Linked DNA regions of Astyanax mexicanus. The protein of the gene in region 1 interacts with the protein of each later gene in a pairwise test. Links are inferred from orthologs where the notes say so. Each region holds a gene or a part of one and is shown on either strand. Other genes may lie near its edges.

Region 1 (7,163 bases):
CGACATAATCGACGTCATCGATTACAAAAATACATCGATTTGCATAACGTGCGTCGGCGCGTCGTAAACATGGCGGCGCCTGTGGAGAGCATTAGAGGTTAGATCGGGCCCAAAAATTCCAACTGGCTGTTTTCGGGCTGTTTTAATGAGCGAAATATGATCAGAATTATGTTAATTAACACGGTAACATAGAAGCATAGAACTATTATTTAATTAAAATGATTTTTAAGAACAGCTAAACACAGTTCTGCAAGTCAAACGCGGAGGAGTTCACGTGCGAGAGAGAGAGAGAGAGAGAGAGATTTGCTTGTTCTACTCACAGGTGAAGGTTCTCTTTGATCTCCTCGTGCTCATATTCTAGTCCCATTCATAATTCTGCAGCTCCCTCAGTGTTTTCTGCCGTATTTTGCGGCTAGCGCGAGCGCTTACAACTGACACCGCGGACCGCGAGGTGCCGCCGCGTTTGTGCCGAATCCGACTCTCTGCTGAATCTGACTCCCGCTTCGCGGACAGAATCGGCACAACACCCCCGCTGTAGAACTGCGGTAGTGAAAACAGCGCTTATAAATAAATTAGTTTAGTTTCACTTTCAGTTTTCGTTATTTTTTTTTAAATAAAAATATAATTAAAAAACAGACGCCTACATCTCGGACTATTTTCTGGAGCCCGGGTCGGATTTACGGGCGGGCCTCGGGTCATGTCGGGTTCGGGCAGAGAATCTAAGCTCTAGGGAGCTTGGACTCCGGAGAGCAATCTCCAGCTACAAAAAAACGCCAGCGGGCATCTAAAGTTTGGGAGCATTTCACGCAAAAGGGCAACAATGTGGTCCTCTGCCATACGTGCAAAAGGAGCACTTGAAGCGCAAACATCCAGGAGCACTATGTCAACAGGGTCACACAGTAAGTTACCGTTTACATCAGGGTCTCCGCGGGTGTCCTTAAAAAGACTTAAGGCTGTCTACCAAAGGTTTTAAACCTGCCACAGGCAGAAATTATACATTTTTGGTTTATATTTGTGCATGGCATTTCGCAGTTTCCAGAAACAGTAGCATTATTCATAAGTTCAGGTGTTTAGCTAAGCTAGCTGCCTTAAGTTATTTTAGCTAGCGCCGTCGGCGCTGCGGTGTCACACCGTTTTCTGTCACCGTCGGAATTTTGTGACCAGTGCTCACGGTTATGAGCGTTCATTGGCAAAACGGAAGCTTTCTATACCTACACCTTACCCTCAGCCCTAAACTGAACCGTTTTGGCCAGTCGGGGTAAACATTAGAAACGAACACGTTTCGAATCGGCCAGTGCACCGGTCTGCTGAGAACTACTTGCCAGTGGTCACAAAATCTAGCGGTCACAGAAAACAGTGCAACACACGGTTGTGGTGTATGGGAGCTTATCCATTTTTAGCGTTATAGATCTAAACAACGTGCTGTACATGTAAGTGATTATAAGTGTGGGGTTTGGTTTAGTAGGCTTGTGTTGTTGTTGTTGTTGTTGTTATTATATATAAATATAGTAATTTATCGTTTGCTTTAAAACGTAAAATAATTATTTAAATATGTTTCTCAATGAATAGATTAGTCGACTAATCGAAAAAAATAATCGTTAGAATAATCGTTTAAAAAATAATCGTTAGGGACAGCCCTAGTTTCATTACTTTAAAGTAACATATATTAATAGAAACAATATGGTTTAGAGGCTCTTTAATATTGAATTTAAAAGCTGTACCGAGGCCCAATATGTTAAACTATATTTGATTTTGCAAGGTTAGTAAATGTTTAAGTCAATTAAGAAAGTCTCTCGACTAATGATATCAGATCGGTATGGGGTATCAACTTTTAAGTTAACTTCTGCCTCAGTATTGGAAGTGAAAAAGTGAAAAAAGTAATAAAAAAAAAATCACTGCATCCAATACAAAGCTATAACTACAGTACCAGGCATATTTGGACAAACCTTTCACCTCATAAAATGTTTTTCTTTATTTAATTGTAGATTAATAACAAACACATAAAAACAATTAAGGCACATATATGGAATTGGAGCTTAGTGCAAAGGAAAAACAGCAACTACTATTTAGCACCTTCAGGAACTCCTTTAAGACGCTAAGAAAACTATACCAGGTGACTCTACCTCATAAAGACACTGAAAAATACCAATTGTGCAGATCTGTCCTTAAAGCTAAACATGGAGGAATCTAAAATATGAAACATATTCTGGTCTGTTTAACAATCATATTCATGTACAGCTTTAATGATTTCAATATTAAATTTATAATGTAAAAATTGATTTGTATAATATTGCAATATTTTGAGATTAAATATTTAAGAAAAACAGTATTGAATACAAAACAATAAATCAACCTGTTATGGTTGTGATGATAATCGTTATTGTACATAATAATATGGATTTGTGGTGTAACCAGAGGGATAGTTTGAAACTAACTAGTAGTTATTAAGGACTTAGTAGAGACTTTACACACAAACTTAAGAAGGAACTTACGCAAAAGTGGTGCAATGTTCTCTAACTATAATTATGCTTTCATACTATGAGAGTTAAAATTGTTGATGTCGATGTTATATACGGAATTGTTTATAGTATCACAATCTATTGCTATATACCGAATCGTAACCCCTTCAAGTATCGTATCGCCAGGATCACAACACGCAGTCCTCAGTATTCAGTTGTTTTGCGGGCTTACCTTCACGGCGTGCTGCAGTGCGGGTTTGACAGCACCCATCAACGAGTCCTGAGCTAAAACCTCAAAAATACTCGGCCTGTCTTCCACTGCTGCTGCTGCTGCTGTGGTCAGATGTGCTCCTCTCTCCGCCATTCTGAGCGAGTTTACAGATAGATAACCTACTTAAACTTCAAAATTAGACTGTAAATCAGAGAATACTTCAGTTAGGAAGCGAACAGCGGTGTCTATAACCCACTCTGCGCTCAAAACAACCAGAACCGGGCGCCATAGTGGCCAAAGTACAGTGTAAACACTGTTTAACGCATGCCATTCTCTGCACCTCGGCGGTGCAACAACATGGCTGTTCCGTGTTTTTCCAAGAGCTCCCAACTTTCCGTTCCGGCCGCTCCATCTTCTTCCCCCCTCCGTCTACAGCTGTGGCAGTGAAAGCGGCCAGCAGCAGCAGCGGTTCACTCCAGCTCCGTTTACACCCGGATACCCTTTAAAATCCTCTCCGCTCCTGTTTCCGAGGTAGGGGCTTTTATTGTTGCTGTTTTGGACAGTCTGTTTATTTGCTGGCGAGGCGAGTTAAAAGGCCGATTTAACGAATGTCGTTCATTTTTCGTAGATGATAGCTAGCGATAGGTTAGCTTAGCAAGCTACCTAGCTAGTTAGCCTAGCCCAGATAACCTAACGTTAAACGGTCACACCCAGGGGTAATTGCTATGGGAGCCTCAAATATCGAGCTTAAATACATTATTTACACTGAATATACTGTGTTTTCTGTCTATGGGTAAATAAATAAACAGTGTTCTGTCTGAGAATGGAGCTGAACGGATATGAACGGATTCCTGGCCGGCCTGCTGTGTTTCGGATGTTCATTCTGATTAGATAAAGTTATTAAGACATATTAGACGTTTCTTTCATTTGTTTTCCAGCAGAATAAGCTTTATACTGAACATATATCTCTTTTTAAATTCACCATGACTATATTAACCTTCCTACCTGGCTAACATTACACCCATAGCCAAATATATAGTAAACTACTTATATATTTTCTTAATTTATTTAAGGGTTTTTTTTTTAAGAAACTTATTTACAAATCCTTTGGATTAATGATAATTATTGAAGAGTTTACATATCATTACACCATCAAATTTTTTTAATGCATAGATATACACGCATAACTATACACACATATATTCTTACAGGTCTGGAACATAAATAAGAGACCACTTAAAAATTATGTGTTTCTTTGATTCTACCAAATTGAAAACCTCTGAATTATAATCAAGAGGAAGATGAATAGTCACAAGACATCAAACCAAACTGAACTGCTTAAATTTTTGCACCAGGAGTGGCATAAAGTTATCCAAAATCAGTGTGTAAGACTGGTGGAGGAGAACATGCCAAGATGCATGAAAACTGTGATTAAAATCCAGCGTAATTCCACCAGATATTTATTTCTGAACTCTTAAAAATATGTAAATGAGCTTGTTCTCCTTGCATTATTTGAGGTCTAAGAGGTCTGCGTCTTTTTTGGTATTTTAGCCATTTCTCATTTTCTGCAAATAAATGACAATATTTACATTTGGAATTTAGGAGAAATGTTGTTTGTAGTTTATAGAATAAAACAACAAAGCTCGTTTAAATCGTACAACACATACAACTACTACAATATTAGAGCTTATGTCCTTTGTAAGTGTTAAATAAGTTACAGGGTTTGAAAGAGATTTCAGTAAATGTCCTATAAAACATATACAATAGGGTAGGTAGCGAGATAATTTGGCTATGGGTGTAACCTTAGCTAGATTTATGTTAAATCTATCATTCTTTTTTGCCAAACGGCTATTTTTTTGCATTATAAAAAAAAAACTTTCACAACATAAATTGAGACTCCTATTTGTGGTTACATATTTATTTGTATTATTTTAATGTGTGCTTTTCTCTGAAGTGAACTTGAACACCAATCAAAATGACAGACTCAAAGTATTTCACTACAAACAAAAAAGGTAAGGTTTTAACTTTGATTGACATTTATTTTTTCTCATTAATAAATCTGAATTAAACCTCACTCACACCTGGCATGGTAGTTTTATCTGGTCAGTGCTTTATGTTTTATTAACCTTACCCTACAATTATTATTTTCTATAGGAGAGATATTTGAACTGAAAGCTGAGTTAAACAATGAGAAGAAGGAGAAGAGGAAGGAAGCGGTGAAAAAAGTCATCGCTGCCATGACCGTGGGCAAGGATGTCAGGTATGATGGGTTTATTGGACACTGTTATTTAAATGCAGGGCAAGGATCATTTTCAGGGCAATAATGTCACGTGTTCTGTGAGCTATTTGCTTTATATGTTTTTTAATTGTTTGGGCCACAGACATCGCAGTTGTAATTTATTTATAATGATTCTGTAAGGAGAACGAAATTAATTTCTTTTTTTTCTTGGGGATTATTTGTTAGAAAAATGTTTAAATGAATCCCACACTGTGTAGGCTGTAATTTAGCTTAGCTTTAGCTCATTTTCATTTTGACTTATTATTTTGCACTGCAGTTGATGCTTTATTATTATTATTATTATTATTATTATCATTCCTTATTCTGTGACTATTAAACACTCTAGTCAATAATCAAGTAAAAGTGTTTCAAAGTGCTAGCATGTTTTTTTTTTTTGTTTTTTTTTTTCATTTGACTGTTTAAGTTTGTCTCTTTATTTAAAATAGATTATGAGGAGATTTGTATATTGCTGATGGTGGTGATCTTGATTTAAATCTATCCTGCCTCGTTCTTTCCTCTCTGTAGCTCTTTGTTCCCGGATGTGGTGAACTGCATGCAGACTGATAACTTGGAGCTGAAGAAACTGGTCTATCTATACCTGATGAACTATGCCAAGAGTCAGCCTGATATGGCCATTATGGCTGTCAACAGTTTTGTAAAGGCAAGTTTTTCTCTTGATATTAAAGAAGAGATGCTTAAAATGTGCTTATGCTATTTGCAACTTAACTCTCAATAGGTATTGCTTTAAACCACTTGCTTTAAACATTATAAACACATAGAGCATGTAGCTTTTCCTTTATCTTTCAAAATGATAGTGGCATTCTTCTTTAGAAATAACCCTAGGTTAAACATGTTCTGTGAGATTTAATGTCATAAATATTCCACTGTATTCTGTTGGTTTGGAGAAAGCTTGGAGAAACTTTTGGAAGCATTTAGGCTACATTTACATCACTAAACTGAAGTAGTCCAGCTCTGTTTTTATAAGCTGTAGATGAGAGCTGTTTTATTGCAAATTTGTTTCTCTAAAGCCTATTAAATATATAAGTGGTCAATATTGCAATTATTGTTTTAGGATCTGTATGGTCATCATGATTCACAGTGTAAAATTCTGAGTATGTCATTGTTTAATTCAGGTAGAAGATCCTATCTCTATTATTTTAAATTAATCTTGTTAATCACTACAGATGTCCTGTGGTGACATTACTGTGTGTCTGTCTTTTCCCTCAGGATTGTGAGGATCCTAATCCACTCATTCGAGCCCTGGCTGTGCGCACCATGGGCTGCATTCGTGTGGATAAGATTACAGAATACCTGTGTGAGCCTCTGAGGAAATGTCTGAAGGATGAAGACCCGTATGTGAGGAAGACTGCTGCTGTGTGTGTGGCCAAGCTGCATGACATCAATGCTCAGATGGTGGAGGACCAGGGCTTCTTGGACTCCCTTAGGGACCTTATTGCTGACTCTAACCCAATGGTTCGTAATTATGCTCGTTGTGTGCTAAACGTAAAAATTCATATGTTTTATGTATAGGTTAGCTGAAGTTAACATCGTGTGGGTTGCCAGATTGGCACATTTGCCAGATCTCTCATTTTCATGGCTGCAGCATGCTGTTTGCATGTTGTTGTGTTCTATACCTGGCAACCCAGAGTGTGGAAATGGGACTGGGGAAATTGCGGTAGGCAGACTTCTTTGTGCACAGTTCCAATAAGAAAATACTGACTGAAGCTCTGCTGACAAGAGCTGCCAGTGATTAAAGCCAGCATGTTTCCTTAATAACTGATGATACATCCTTACCATTATATCACTACAGAAAATATCATCCTTAATAGTTCCAAAGGTACCGTTTAGAAAAGTGCATTGTTTCACATTAAGCATAGCCTTAAATGGCCTGAGGTAGAGTGCAGGAATTGATCAATGACATTAGGTAAGGAAGGGCTGGTCAGTCCAACGTTAAATGTGCCCTGCAACTGAGTATTCACATTGTATATATTTTGTTCCCTTACTTCATAGTCCTGAGACTACAATCATATTGTAAGTGCGTATGTATAATTCTGCTGGTATGCATTTATACTAGTTTGTTTCCCTTTAGTGAAGCATACAGAATCGAGTTGAGCATTAATGACTCCCTCTTGTGGGGAAAAAAAAATTCTCAACATTAAGGAGTGTGAGATTTCAGCCAGAATTGTGAGATGCTTTGCCTTTAATAGGAAACTAT
Region 2 (7,859 bases), on another chromosome or scaffold:
TTAATAGTTCAAGCTATTAGAGGCGTTACAGTATTAAAATCAGCCACAATTCCCTTCTTTCTCCACAGAGCTGAGCTACCAATGCAGTAGCTTGTTGTGCTAACTGGCTAGTGTTATCTAGCAAGCGTGCTTGCTCGGCAGCGTTGTTCTACACATGGACACATGGAACTGGTGGCACTTTAGCCACCAGGGAAGCCAGTGTGGTACTACAGGTACAGAATTGGTTAAGTGATGGGTGTAAAGTGAGCTTGAGGAGAGGGAGGGAGGATTTATTGTGGGCTTAATTGAACAAAACACTGACAATGGGTGGTGCCTACCTAATGACACCAGTGAAGAGCATACAAAAAATGGGTGATTCGAATTTAGGTGAAAAGAATATGTCAAATTTGGTGGTCCAATTTAATAGGAGTGAAAAAAACCCCTCAACACCACTACTAACCCTGAGTACTCTTGCACCAACACAATTTTTTATTACAATTACCCTGTTACATATCAACAAATTGCACCTACCTGAGAGAGTAGTAAGTGCGTAGTAGGTGAGATCTGACAGCAATTCCAGCTCCTTTCTCCACTGTAGCCATCGTTTGGAACCTGATTAAAGTGGAAACACCAATAAACTAAGGCAGTGGTTCTCAAACTGTGGTACGTTCACCACTAATAGTATGTGAAGCATCCCTATGTGGTACACCACACAAACATATTCATTGTAATGCATCAAAACCAAAAGAATAGTTTTTCAGGCAACCATATGTATATAGGCACACCAGGTCACTTCATCCTATTTCCAATGTCATTTTTTTATGTAGTACTTTTACTCTATAGAATATTTATTGGCTGACATACCATCTTGGTACAATCTCTATGACTGCTAATAAAAATACAAGGCTAAATTAACAGATCTTTCTACCTATGTTTTTTTAGGACCTTTTTTAATAACACACATGATCGATCCTTTCATGTGTGTTCTGTGACTGCATGTATTTAATTGTGTTATTTTAAGCTACTGGATGACCTAATTTTTTCTCAGGATTAAGAAGGTATATCTTCATCTCTCTGTCTCTCTCTCTCTCTTACTATATCTATTTATCAGTGATTCACAGATGAGGGAATTCTGAGCTGACGTGAATATCTGATATTACACATGCACATATCTGTCGGTACCAATATTCATATTTTTAACCTAAAGAGAAGGTAGGCAGCCGTTAGACTTGTAACATTTATTTGCCTTACATTTCAGCTTTCAACCAACTGTATGCAAACAAAATGACAAAATGCATCTCCTGAAATTAGAGCCATCTACTCACTCAGAGAGAACAAGGCCTATTGTGCTCTCTCTCTCGAGTGGACCACTCGGAGCCCCTGATCACAGTTTTAAACCCTCTTTTGTAAATCAACAGGTAAAATAAAACATTCGATTAACTAAAAGTAATGAAAAAAAAATGCTAAATTAGTGCGGCCAGTGCTTGCCAACTGTAGCAGTGTGGCCAGCATTACTTGGCCCTTTTCCAGAGTACAATAAATATGTCAGCAAGCGTCACTTGAAATATCGGCCAAACCTAGGCAAACCCTATCTATCTAGCAGATGCTATTCAAATCAGACAAAAAGCCTGGCATCTCAAAAAAAAGTCCAGAAAAGTTACAGAAGGTCTGTTTTCCTGCTGTGCCTTGCGACACATTTCCCCTTTTCATCTTTTCCAGTTGTTTTGCTTTACTTCGCTACCCTGCAGACTCCACTCCACAAAACCAACTAACACTTTTACCAAGATATTTACACAGGAATTTATGTAATATAGAACTGTGCATTAGGAAAATTCTGCTGCATTGGGAAATATTTACGATCAGAGAGAGATATATTTTTCATATATTAATTGATTCAAATAAATATACAGCTCTGGAAAAAAATAAAAGAGACCACTTAAAATGCTGAGTTTCTTTGATTTGACCAAATTAAAAACCTCTGGAATATAATCAAGAGGAAGATGGATGACCACAAGCCCTCAAACCAAACTGAACTGCTTGAATTTTTGCACCAGGAGTGGCATAAAGTTATCCAAAAGCAGTGTGTAAGACTGGTGGAGGAGAACATGCCAAGATGCATGTGATGAAAAATGTGATTAAAAACAAGGGTTATTCCACCAAATATTGATTTCTGAACTCTAGCTGAACTCTTGAAAACTTTATGAAAATTAACTTATTTTCTTTGCATTATTTGAGGTCTGAAAGTTCTGCATCTTTTTTTGTTTTTTCAGCCATTTCTCATTTTCTGCAAATAAATGCTCTAAATGGCAATATTTTTATTTGGAACAAATGTCCGTAGTTTATAGAATAAAACAACAATGTTCATTGTACTCAAACATAAACCTAAACATAGCAAAACTAGAGAAACAGAAGTGGTCTCTTATTATTTTCCAGAGCTGTAGTAGCAACAATGTCTAGAAAGTAACTGAACCAGTGTTGAGAAAAACACGTGCTGTGTGTGGTTTAGGTAAACAGTGAGAGAGACTCACCGGCGAGGGTCTGGAAAGCTTCGCTGGTGTTGTTTCTGAGGCTGCTCTGGTAGTACTCGTCCTTCTGGGAGGAGCGGATGAGCTGAGGCTGGTTGGCGGGTATAAGTGGCATTACTGCCGGAGATTTAATAAACTAATGAATTAAATAAATATATAAATAAATGTGAGCTGGACTCTGACCGGGTGTTCCGCCATAAGCAGCTGGTTTGCTCCTCTCTGTGTGTGACTGCAGCAGCTTTAGCTGGGTCTGACAGCAGCAGCAGCGGAGTAAGAGAATTAAACACACACTAAATAAAAGCTTATCATAATATATAAATCAGTGACTGCAACTAAAAGTCCGTCCATCTTCATGTTGAAAACACACAAACCGAGTCCTGCAGCCTATTTTACTTCCGTCTTAATCACGTGTGAAGAGGAGAGCTCGCCATTGGTCGGCTGTCTGCAAACAGCGCTTCCGTGGAGCAGGCGGGAGGGAGTCAGAGTTGCCAGATTTGGGGTTTTCACTCCGTCACTGTGGTTAAGGTTAAGAATAGAGTAGAGATACACAGGGTAACATACTAGTACGAATTGAAGCCAATAAATCAGTGATTTGTGCTTGATTTAAGTCTTACTTCACTCATTGTAAATAAATGTGATTGCTTTAATATAAAGCATATTTATAAAGTGTTTATAAATGGTTATTAATTAGGTTGAAGATATTTTAAAGGGGGCATATAATATCTACTTTTAAACAAGTTAAAATAGTTCTATTTGCTGTACAAAACATGCTCATTAAGTTCTTTGCACAAAATCACTCTCACATAAAAAGATCTCACCAGATTCACCATTTCAGAAGTTTCAGAACTGTTTAAGGACTCTGTCACTTTTTGCAAATAAGCCTTTGCTGGACATGCTCCATATTTACACAGAGGGTTTACCACATGTTAATGTTAGCTTGTGCTAAATGGCAAAACACGAACAAGCTAGTTCATTCTTAACTGTGATAGAAGAACAAAATTAATTATTTGAAAGTACTTACATCCCCCTCACCTGCTGACTTGCCACAGACATTAGGTATAGATTCCTCCCTCAGACAAAGTCTGCTGGCTTATCTGCTGTGTACTCTCTGAGGTGCTCAACAAGCAGATTTTTAAATGATCTAAATTACTACTTAATTAATAACTATTTATAAACCATACATTTTTTTATTTAAAATATATTTAAAGCGCTACCCATTATTGTTTCATCATCTTTATTAGAACATCATTAATTGAAAAATAAAAAATAAAAAACTATAGGTAAAACAAATTTGGTAGGCTAAAGCAAAATAACTTTTGGTTAATATGTAACTTAGTTTAATAAAAACTTGCCTTTAACACAAGGTTTACCAATGTATTTCCTTCACTATTTTTCCTCTATATATTCTGCATATTATGTATGTGTGTATATGTGAATTATTTATTTATTTCAGCTTGATTTTTTGTTGTTACACTGCATTTCTATGCAGACGAACACCAAAAATATTGAAATACATATTTCATATAAGCACACTCCATATGTACTTTAAATTGTACTGTAGTTAAAGTAAAAAATTACAGTTTTAAATTTCATAATAATTCACAGTACAGTAACAAATTACATTTACTTGGTTACTGACTTAGATATACAACTTAATAAATATAACAATCTTATATCTCCTTATATATAAATTATCAGTTTGAATAGCTGGCCTATACTGTTATATTTGTACCAAGAAAAAGTAATAAAAAAAATGAAAATACAATATACCTGGCAACCCTGGAGGTAGCATGGGCTGGTTCAGTTTACACAGGCACTCTGTGGTTTTGTTTTCTTTCTGTTTTTTTTTCATACTTTTTTGCATTTATTTATTTAATTGGTAGAAAAAAGTACATATTTATATTAATCCAGGTTAATATTTTGAAAGTATTATTATTATTAATTTTTTGCTGTTAATATAATCAGTTTTCTAAATATACCCACATTCAAACGTTTACATCACATTATTTTGTTTTAATGGAAAAGTTATTTTCAGTGCTGAAGCACAAAGCTTGTGCTGTATTATTAGCTTATTAGTATTTGCCTTCACGCCTTCATGATCTGAGGTGATAGAAATGATGACATATCGTGAGTGAGTGCGCTAACTTTTGCGCTGTTTATCTTTCCGTTTATTTGTTCTAACACTTCTAATGTTCTCTCTTTCTTTTCTCTCGGTGCACAAAAGGTTACATCACTTTCCCCCTCGAGTCCATGTGTGGCCTCAAATCCTATCCTGCAGAACCTGTTTCTTTGTTCCTTTGGTGCTCCAACATCAAGCAACTCTATTAAAGTCCAACAGTAAAGAAAAAAAAGTGGTGAAAGAAAGGCTCTTTCATGCTCTAGTTGGTCCAGAAAAAAAAAGAAAAAAAGAAAATCATACTTAAGACTGGTCACCAGATTTTTCATGTTCGGGGGCAGGCCGTGTTTGATTAAAGACTTGCCGGAGTCTATTTACTCCTTATGGCGGTGAAGGAAGTGTGGACAGTGTTTACACTTGAGGAGGGGCAGTCCTTTTCCTCAGTCTCAGAGATACATGTGACTTCTTGCAGGCTGGAGTTAGGTGGTGTACAGGGCAGATGAGGGGAGTAGTGGCTTAAGAATCCACTTGGAAATAGCAGGCAAAGCTTGATCCTCACTGAGGTACAGTAAATTATTTCTTTTTGTGTTTGTCTTTCATGTTGTTCATGTTGTTTATGTTGATGTTTTGTGGAAATAGTGAGTTTAGGCATTTGAATAAAGCATGAATGTGAGTGGTTACGTTCTTGTGGCTGAGAAACATCAGATCTTCAGAATTCACTGAGGTTTATTAGGTTAAGCAGTCTGAACTAATGTGTATATTTACTCAGAATGAGTCAGTGGAACTGATTTAGCAGTTTCTTCCTACTGAACATTGCAACAGACTCTCAAATATGTTTATCTTCCTGACATCCAGACTTTTGCTTGGTGTGCATTTTTTAATTTTCAAAGCTTTTTGGGATTAGTAGAACCTAACAAGTATAAAAAATAAATTCTGTCTTTGTGCAAAGTGTCCATTCATTTTCTGTAGCTTCCTATTCTTGCTAAAATTAGTCTAAAAAGATTGACATATGATGCTAAAGATTTGAATGATAGGGGTGGGCGATGTGGCCCTAAAACAATATCACGATATTTCATGGTATTTCTGCGATAACGATACACTTGGCAATATGACCAGATAAAAATTTTTGCATATTGCGTATTATTGCATATGATATGATATGTCACATCTCTAACTGAGATATTAAAAATACAATAGTTGTATCAGATTTGTAACAGAAGTCAATGATCCAGAATATCATGATACTAATAATGCACTTCATAAATCTCCATATATCCAGAATTAAAGTAAAATAAATTATACTGGACAGATATAATCTGTCTCTAGTAGATATATAATGTGAGAAATGAGAACCGTGTGAATTTTTCAAAAGGTTATGACAGTTCATGAAAGAAGAGATTGTTTTTTTTTTTTTTTACATAATATGCATACATGTTGAATATCGCAACACACCTGGTAACATTTTATGATAAGGGTCAGAATTAACAGTACTAAGACAGTTATAAACATTCTTACATGGTTGAGTAATTTCCCAACTAATTACTAATTGTCACTAGTTAAGACATTATTAAATAAATGTACTTTTTTAAAGTGTTACCTTATATTTACATGTATATTAACTTTTGCTTAAACATAGTTCAACACTATATACATATTTAAACAATGTCTAAATAAAAATATAAGTATAAAAAATAAATTCTGTCTTTGTGCAAAGTGTCCATTCATTTTCTGTAGCTTCCTATTCTGGCTAAAATTAGTCTAAAAAGATTGACATATGATGCTAAAGATTTGAATGATAGGGGTGGGCGATGTGGCCCTAAAACAATATCACGATATTTCATGGTATTTCTGCGATAACGATACACTTGGCAATATGACCAGATAAAAATTTTTGCATATTGCGTATTATTGCATATGATATGATATGTCACATCTCTAACTGAGATATTAAAAATACAATAGTTGTATCAGATTTGTAACAGAAGTCAATGATCCAGAATATCATGATACTAATAATGCACTTCATAAATCTCCATATATCCAGAATTAAAGTAAAATAAATTATACTGGACAGATATAATCTGTCTCTAGTAGATATATAATGTGAGAAATGAGAACCGTGTGAATTTTTCAAAAGGTTATGACAGTTCATGAAAGAAGAGATTGTTTTTTTTTTTTTACATAATATGCATACATGTTGAATATCGCAACACACCTGGTAACATTTTATGATAAGGGTCAGAATTAACAGTACTAAGACAGTTATAAACATTCTTACATGGTTGAGTAATTTCCCAACTAATTACTAATTGTCACTAGTTAAGACATTATTAAATAAATGTACTTTTTTAAAGTGTTACCTTATATTTACATGTATATTAACTTTTGCTTAAACATAGTTCAACACTATATACATATTTAAACAATGTCTTAAACCATCTTAAACCACAGAGAGTCTTGGTCTCTCTTAGAAGTGTCCTGACCATTTTATAAAATCTTGTCAAGCTGCAAGTACTTAAGTTATTCATAAATATTTAAGTGTTATAATAGTGTTATAATTGCGTTTTTAAGTGTTCTAAAGTGTTAGGCTTAAACTTATGAAAACAGTTTATGTCATTCACTCGTGTCGTTACAAATGCATAATATCATGCGTTTTAAATTGCATACAAACACTGTGTAAAAATACATTTTTGTACATAATACAAATATACAGTTTTCATTTACGTTCAAGAAATATATTTTTGTACATGTACATTATTACAAATATACAGTGTTCACTTACTTTCAAGCAGCAGTAGTTAAGATTTTTTCTTTTAAATTAAATCAGTGTGTCAGGAAAACCCAGGCAGGGAGACGAGGAGGCGGACACAAGTGCAGGTAGGGTGAAATCAATAAATAATAATTTAATAAATAAATAACAAGTAACAAAGAAACAAGAAACAAGTAAACACTAAAACACGGAACAGGGAGATATATACAATGAACTAGGGAATAAACGAAATGTCTGAAAATAACCAGAAAACAAACGAGAGGAACCAGAGAACTAAAACAAACAAACTAGAGAATATAATAAAAATAAACAAACCAAACAGGGCAGGGAAATAAATACAAGGGAATAAACTAATAAACACAAAGCAGGGTTAAATACAAGGAGTTAACGGAAATAAACAAGGGACTAGAAACATAAACTGGAGATAAACAGGGAAAAACACGAAATAAGGAGCACAGGAAACAAACTA

The links. The genes of interacting proteins can lie anywhere in the genome.
Region 2: the proteins of pex12 (region 1) and pex10 interact in a two-hybrid assay, tested with the Homo sapiens proteins (4 studies listed by BioGRID, with this or other methods). The link is inferred for Astyanax mexicanus from reciprocal best matches to the Homo sapiens genes PEX12 and PEX10.

The regions. Positions count from the first base shown.
Region 1 is NC_064408.1:29,621,523-29,628,685, forward strand, and holds the start of pex12 (peroxisome assembly protein 12), read right to left. Parts: upstream 3,020-7,163; 5' UTR 2,824-3,019; coding exon 2,692-2,823; intron 1-2,691. Other genes in the region: ap2b1 (AP-2 complex subunit beta), read left to right, coding at 4,646-4,682, 4,825-4,930, 5,474-5,609, 6,176-6,421. UniProt on the Homo sapiens protein: Component of a retrotranslocation channel required for peroxisome organization by mediating export of the PEX5 receptor from peroxisomes to the cytosol, thereby promoting PEX5 recycling.
Region 2 is NC_064419.1:19,024,425-19,032,283, reverse strand, and holds the start of pex10 (peroxisome biogenesis factor 10), read right to left. Parts: upstream 3,021-7,859; 5' UTR 2,620-3,020; coding exon 2,508-2,619; intron 592-2,507; coding exon 511-591; intron 1-510.